2 linked regions of the Xenopus tropicalis genome follow. The protein of the gene in region 2 interacts with the protein of the main gene of each other region in a biochemical or structural test. Links are inferred from orthologs where the notes say so. Each region holds a gene or a part of one and is shown on either strand. Other genes may lie near its edges.

What was found.
Region 1: the proteins of rab6a (region 2) and kif20a form a complex in vitro, tested with the Homo sapiens proteins (2 studies listed by BioGRID). The link is inferred for Xenopus tropicalis from reciprocal best matches to the Homo sapiens genes RAB6A and KIF20A.

The regions. Positions count from the first base shown.
Region 1 is NC_030679.2:47,845,145-47,849,348, forward strand, and holds the start of kif20a (kinesin-like protein KIF20A), read left to right. Parts: upstream 1-1,404; 5' UTR 1,405-1,547; intron 1,548-3,741; 5' UTR 3,742-3,760; coding exon 3,761-3,919; intron 3,920-4,204. UniProt on the Homo sapiens protein: Mitotic kinesin required for chromosome passenger complex (CPC)-mediated cytokinesis. Following phosphorylation by PLK1, involved in recruitment of PLK1 to the central spindle. Interacts with guanosine triphosphate (GTP)-bound forms of RAB6A and RAB6B.
Region 2 is NC_030678.2:174,052,036-174,055,535, reverse strand, and holds part of rab6a (ras-related protein Rab-6A), read left to right. Parts: intron 1-768; coding exon 769-827; intron 828-3,038; coding exon 3,039-3,092; intron 3,093-3,500. UniProt on the Homo sapiens protein: The small GTPases Rab are key regulators of intracellular membrane trafficking, from the formation of transport vesicles to their fusion with membranes.

The sequences.
Region 1 (4,204 bases), on a different chromosome or scaffold from region 2:
GGCGTTTTTCAGCCTAGTACTGGTGTAAGCAAATCCCGTTTCTATGGTGCTAATAGTGTGAAATAGCAAAAAATGCAGCGTATTTCCACTAGGTCTGCCAGCTGCCTTTGCGTATACATAGGAATAGCTTGCATTTTTGCGCAACGCTGTGTCAACAATGTATGTTTCAGAGAAATTTTTGCCCTTGATCCCCCTCCTGCATGCCACTGTCCAGGTCGTGGCACCCTTTAAACAACTTTAAAATCAGTTTTCTGGCCAAAAATGGCTTTTCTAGGTTTTAAAGCTCGCCTTCCCATTGAAGTCTATGGGGTTCGCAAAGTTCGCGAACTTTCGCACTTTTTGGCGTAAGTTCGCGAACGGGTTCGCGAACTTTTTTTTTGAGGTTCGCTTCATGCCTATTAGTAAGTCAGGTGTCTATATTATCCCTAAATTTTTTTAAAAAGAAAAGTAACCCTCCCAGCTGCCAACAGACACTCCAGCATAAATCCAACAGCGGAAGGGGGAGGATGAGGGGTCAGATGGAATCTTCAGTGGATGTGACAGTTGGGACATCAGGTGCAGGGATGCACGTGATGTCATGGGGGGGGGCTGCAGTTAGGTTTCATGCCTAGGTGAGATTTTAAAAGTTGTGGAATTTTCGCAGGGATGCACCGAACCCACTATTTTGGGTTTGGCCAAAATGAATTCTGTTGAATCCTGAGCCGAATCCAAATTAGCGTATGCTAATTAGTAATTCAGAAGGGTTAAAATTTGCCGCTCAAAAAAATTTTCCTCCCAAAATTTAACCCTTTCTGAATGCTAATTTGCATATGCTAATTGTGATTTGGATCTGCCAAAACCAAATCCATCATAAAAAGGCTGGATTCCGCCCGAATCCCAAACTGAATCTGGGATTCGGCGCATAACTAGAATTTTCCCCTGAAATGGATGCTGTCAGATACATTAGTTATTTTGAAGAAATGCTTGGATTTTTTTTAGTGTAAGAAAATAAAAGAATACTGGTATTTATACTTACTGCAATATAAAATACTGAAATAGAGACTGGCACAATTTTGTAGTCAGAAAATAGTTTTTATATAAAAAGCTAAAACAGAGACTGGTACAGTTTTGTAGTTAGAAATGAGTTTTTCCCTATTATTTAGCAATTGTCAGTATAACGAAACCTTTAATAATTCAAACAAAAACACCACATTTTCGCACAACAGTTTGAAACAAAGCAACACGTTGAAATAATGATTCCCGTATGAGCCGGAAGAAAGGGCAGGTTATTTCATCCAGATCCAATAATCGCACTGTTTGGTTGAGCACGCATCTAGTCTAGCAAGGTTTCCTTAACTAGAAAGCCTATTGGATGACAGAGTTCTCAATATCCGATTGGCTGCGACAAGCAAAGTTCTTTAGGATTGGTTGAATTCCCCAGCGCCTAGTTTGAATTCGGAAAGTAGCAACAGTCGGGAATCACGAGTCTGCTGAGAGCTGCCTGTCCCGGGAGGCGGTGGTTTCGGTCCGGGGCTCACAGGGTAATACCAAGGGTCATTATAACACAGGTTAGTTTTGTTGTAATTGGGAGATTCTACATATGTTTCTATATTCAGTACCTTGGTATGATCCCTCTTAGTTCACTGGCTTTGAGGTTTACTTCTTCTGTCTAGATATCTGCCCTATATGGTTTATTATTTATGTATTTATAATCTTTTCATACGAAGGTTGTCCCAGTGACTGGCGATCTATTGTGCTGCCACTAGTAACGCATACAGGGAGTTGTTCAAAAGTAGGGGTATTATATTTATTATTTGTCTGCTGGGTAATGCAGGAAGTATATGGTGGGAGTGCTGTCTAAAGCTAAGTGCTGTCTGTTTCCATATAGTGGGTCAGGCATTCACTGTACTGATAAAAGAATTGTCAGTCATTTCTTTGATATTATGTATTACTGAGGGCTGGGTTATATATATAAATGATGTTGTGTAATGAAGAACCTGGGGATGAAGGGGGAGGTATAAAATCCCCTGGAGGGCTGCTTATTTCCCACTGGCCTCTACTACCCTGTTGTGTAGGTGTTTGACTGCAGTTTCAAATATCACAGTGTGTTCAAGTGCCAGTGTGTGTCACAAGCCAGTGCTGGGCATAACGTGAGTGTGGCTTTGAGTACTCCCATCTTTGCCATTCCCTCATGTCACTTGCCGCTATGCAGGACTTTTATGGTAACTTGCTCCTAAAATGTCATTCATCTGCCCTGGCCTAAAGAGGTCAGGAAAGTGTTGTGTGTGAGTATACAAACATATATATACATTTTTGTATCATAGACCCATGGAATTTGTCCACAGGGAAACATATACTTAAGATGAATTATACCAGAATTCCTTTAACTATAGTACAGTTAATAGCTATTAACAATTTTAACAGTACCTACCCAATCACCTAAACAATATGGTTACATTGGAAAGAAGGAAATCTATTTATATACAGTGAAGGAAAGGTTTAACTGCATGTAAATAAGTCCCTTTCCTGTATACTTACTCTAAACCTGTTTTTTTTTTTTTTTCTGGTACAAAAGTCTTTGTTCTAAAATTGCAAATGTTAAGTGCACTGTAACCTGAGAATGTGTCAGTAGTTTTGTTTGCTAAGTCATAGGGAAGTGACTTATGAAAATGGAATGTGCCTTTTCATATGTGCACATTCCATTCTTTTAGATGATATTGAATATCTTTTCTTTTTAGGTGGTGGCTTTCACTTCTGATATTGGGTTATTTATATTCATGACTTAGTAAGCAAGACATTACAGAAATATGAAGTGAATGTTTTGTTAATACTAAAAGTCTTAAAGGGAATGTCCATGTTTTTTTTGCATAATGAAAGCAAATTATACACTATATTCCTGTATAGATTAAAATATACCTAAAGGTTAAAACACTACTACAAAAGTCCAATTTGTTGAGCTACTTACAGTAAGGGAAATCACCACTACTCTTTGGAACCCAGGCTGGTGTAGGTTTTTATTGAAAAATTGCACTAGTCCAAGTTATATTTTTCTAGGTGCCACACACCTCAGGGGGATGGGGGGGAAGGTGCATGTTGGCCAATCATGAGTGGCATTTTCTTACATGAGTAGTATTGTTTCCTCTGTCTCTATTATCCTGCACCTTCTGTGGGGCAGACCATAGGGTAATGGAACACTGGGATGTTGTCTGACACAGATTTTTGGTTGTGTTGTACAAGGGATTTTCTCCAACACCTACTAAAATTATGGTATTATCTGTTTATATATATATATATATATATATATATATATATATATATATATATATATATATATATATATATATATATATATATATATATATATATATATATATAATTTTAACTAATTCTTGTGCTGCAGAAATCCTATATTCAACAGCTTTCAGTTAATAAATATTGTAAGTTGCGGTTACCAGGGACAACACTACACCCTTCTTGCTCTCTTTATATCTGTGATGAAACTAGCATACTCTCCGAATTAGGTCAGTCACACCCATAAAGCATAAACACTGTACATTACACTCACTTTTTGTTTAATGTAGTGGTTCAGACATGATTTATTATTAGATATCACCATACTGTGCTATTAGTTCTGTGTTAGTACTTCTCTCCTAAGGGTCATGGCAGGTTTGCAAAAGTTAAAGCAGCTGGATATATCTATACACACAACTGAGTCTTTGATTTTCTGCATTTACTCAGTGCTACCATTACTTTCCCTACTAGGTACAGGGCCTGAATAATCATGGTTAGCAATGTTGTATCCCCTGGCATGGGACTGCTCTCAGATGATGAGGAGAACCCAGTGTTTGAATCTACTGCAGCTGAATGTGGGGCAGGAATCCGAAAAGCACTTCTGTCTGACTTCTCTGTCATCTCACCAGGACTGGGCCATCCTCCCCAGGTATAGAAAGTCAACCCAGTCTTATGTTTCTTTTCAGTCCAATGCTGGACAGCTTGCTAGGAGTGAGCAAGGTTTGTTCTATGTATTGTTTGTTCTATAACTTTTGAGCTTACAAATACTTATTACGTACCTAAGCTGGCTGTACACAGAAAGATTTGTTTGCTTGGGCAGGTCACCAGATGGTATGGCCAAATCAAACCAATACCAAATATGTGGGTCGGCAGTCAGTTTCAGACCACATCCACTGGCTTTTGCAGTCCTCCTCCAGCCAGATCTTTTTAGCTA
Region 2 (3,500 bases):
TAGCGCAGCCATTTCCCCTCGCGAGTAGCCGGCTCCTGCCAGGCACATTGTGCAATGTCAATACAGACACGTGGCTGAGTAAATTTGCTCTCCTCCGGTTTGTGTGTATTTTAGTCCCCCCTCCCCCTACATTCCCTGCTTTGTGCCAAGTGTCCTTACTACTGGGGGGGGCATTGTAGCAATGTTTCCGTTTACACAGTGTATATTGTATCATTCATTCAGGTGAGGTGGGGTTTGTTAATAGTTAGTAACCAACTCCCTACCCACTTGTTTGCCCCATCCATAAATTTAAGAATGGCTAAATCTTAGCAACTTTTCAATTGGTCTTCATTTTTTTTTTAATAGTTTTTGAATTATTTGCCTCTTTCCAGTTTTCAAATGGGGGTCACTGACCCCGGCAGCCAAACCCTATTGCTCTGTGAGGCTCCAGTTTTATTGTTACTGTTAATCTTTTCTATTCTGCCCATCTCCTATTCATATTCCAGTCCCGAACGCAAATCATAGCCAGGTTGCTAGGGTAATTTGGGTCCTAGCAACCAGATAGCTGCTGAAATACCAAACTGGAGAGCTTCTAAAAAGCTAAATAATTTAAAAACCCACTCACATTAAAAAATGAAGGCCAATTGCAAATTGTCTCAGAATAGAAGTCTCTACATCGAACTAGAAGTTAAAGGCCAACAACGCCTTTAATTGCTTAGAAGTATGTGCCTGTGTGTTCTATAGAGCCTAATTATCTCTCTCTCTCTCTCTCTCTCTCTCTCTCTCTAGTTGGGAAGACTTCTTTAATAACCAGGTTCATGTATGACAGCTTTGACAACACATACCAGGTAAGCGTGTAGTCTAATGTCATGTAGTACAGGGGAATCCCTATGTGCCATAGTTTTATGGTCTCTCTCTGTACAGGCTATGAGCAAACTTAGGGGGCTGTTCCTGCTGAATTGTGCTTAGTACAGGGGAATCCCTATGTGCCATAGTTTTATGGTCTCTCTCTGTACAGGCTATGGGCAAACTTAGGGGGCTGTTCCTGCTGAATTGTGCTTAGTACAGGGGAATCCCTATGTGCCATAGTTTTATGGTCTCTCTCTGTACAGGCTATGGGCAAACTTAGGGGGCTGTTCCTGCTGAATTGTGCTTAGTACAGGGGAATCCCTATGTGCCATAGTTTTATGGTATCTCTCTGTACAGGCTATGGGCTAACTTAGGGGGCTGTTCCTGCTGAATTGTGCTTAGTACAGGGGAATCCCTATGTGCCATAGTTTTATGGTATCTCTCTGTACAGGCTATGGGCTAACTTAGGGGGCTGTTCCTGCTGAATTGTGCTTAGTACAGGGGAATCCCTATGTGCCATAGTTTTATGGTCTCTCTCTGTACAGGCTATGGGCAAACTTAGGGGGCTGTTCCTGCTGAATTGTGCTTAGTACAGGGGAATCCCTATGTGCCATAGTTTTATGGTATCTCTCTGTACAGGCTATGAGCAAACTTAGGGGGCTGTTCCTGCTTAATTGTACTTAGTACAGGGGAATCCCTATGTGCCATATTTTTATGGTATCTCTCTGTACAGGCTATGAGCAAACTTAGGGGGCTGTTCCTGCTGAATTGTGCTTAGTACAGGGGAATCCCTATGTGCCATAGTTTTATGGTATCTCTCTGTACAGGCTATGAGCAAACTTAGGGGGCTGTTCCTGCTGAATTGTACTTAGTACAGGGGAATCCCTATGTGCCATATTTTTATGGTATCTCTCTGTACAGGCTATGAGCAAACTTAGGGGGCTGTTCCTGCTGAATTGTGCTTAGTACAGGGGAATCCCTATGTGCCATAGTTTTATGGTATCTCTCTGTACAGGCTATGAGCAAACTTAGGGGGCTGTTCCTGCTGAATTGTGCTTAGTACAGGGGAATCCCTATGTGCCATAGTTTTATGGTATCTCTCTGTACAGGCTATGAGCAAACTTAGGGGGCTGTTCCTGCTGAATTGTGCTTAGTACAGGGGAATCCCTATGTGCCATATTGTTATGGTATCTCTCTGTACAGGCTATGAGCAAACTGATGGGGCTGTTCCTGCTGAATTGTGCTTAGTACAGGGGAATCCCTATGTGCCATAGTTTTATGGTATCTCTCTGTACAGGCTATGAGCAAACTGATGGGGCTGTTCCTGCTGAATTGTACTTAGTACAGGGGAATCCCTATGTGCCATATTTTTATGGTATCTCTCTGTACAGGCTATGAGCAAACTTAGGGGGCTGTTCCTGCTGAATTGTGCTTAGTACAGGGGAATCCCTATGTGCCATAGTTTTATGGTATCTCTCTGTACAGGCTATGAGCAAACTTAGGGGGCTGTTCCTGCTGAATTGTGCTTAGTACAGGGGAATCCCTATGTGCCATAGTTTTATGGTATCTCTCTGTACAGGCTATGAGCAAACTTAGGGGGCTGTTCCTGCTGAATTGTGCTTAGTACAGGGGAATCCCTATGTGCCATAGTTTTATGGTATCTCTCTGTACAGGCTATGAGCAAACTTAGGGGGCTGTTCCTGCTGAATTGTGCTTAGTACAGGGGAATCCCTATGTGCCATAGTTTTATGGTATCTCTCTGTACAGGCTATGAGCAAACTTAGGGGGCTGTTCCTGCTGAATTGTGCTTAGTACAGGGGAATCCCTATGTGCCATAGTTTTATGGTATCTCTCTGTACAAGCTATGAGCAAACTTAGGGGGCTGTTCCTGCTGAATTGTGCTTAGTACAGGGGAATCCCTATGTGCCATAGTTTTATGGTATCTCTCTGTACAGGCTATGAGCAAACTTAGGGGGCTGTTCCTGCTGAATTGTGCTTAGTACAGGGGAATCCCTATGTGCCATAGTTTTATGGTATCTCTCTGTACAGGCTATGAGCAAACTTAGGGGGCTGTTCCTGCTGAATTGTGCTTAGTACAGGGGAATCCCTATGTGCCATAGTTTTATATAGTTAAGTTGAAAGCCTATTAAAATGTTTTTAACCTCCTAAAATACACACAGTTGACATGTTTTTCTCTTCTTTGGTTTTAGGCAACAATTGGAATTGACTTCTTATCCAAAACAATGTACCTAGAGGATCGAACAGTGAGTACTGTATGGGCCAGTTTGGCTTTGTGCCTCTCCCGATGGAACCTGCAGCGTCGATGCTCGGTGTCTGGGCTTTTATCAGATTAGATTTGCCCCCATAGCAGAGGGCAGTAAGTCTGTAGGGCAATACAGTCATGCTGGAAGTGCTTTACAGGAAAGGAAGTTGCCTTGTTGCCCCAGAGATGCTCGGTCGGTCCGGAAACATTGAAAGGAGAATTAAAGGGGTAGTTCACCTTTAAATTAAGGTTTAGTATAATGTATTCAGTTTGCAATTGGTCTTCATTTTTTATTTGCAGATTTTTAAATTATTTAGCTTTTTGTTCAGCAGCTCTCCAGCTTGGGTTTTCAGCAGCTATCTGGTTGCTAGGGTCCAGTTTAACCTAGCAACCAGCCAGTGGTTTATAG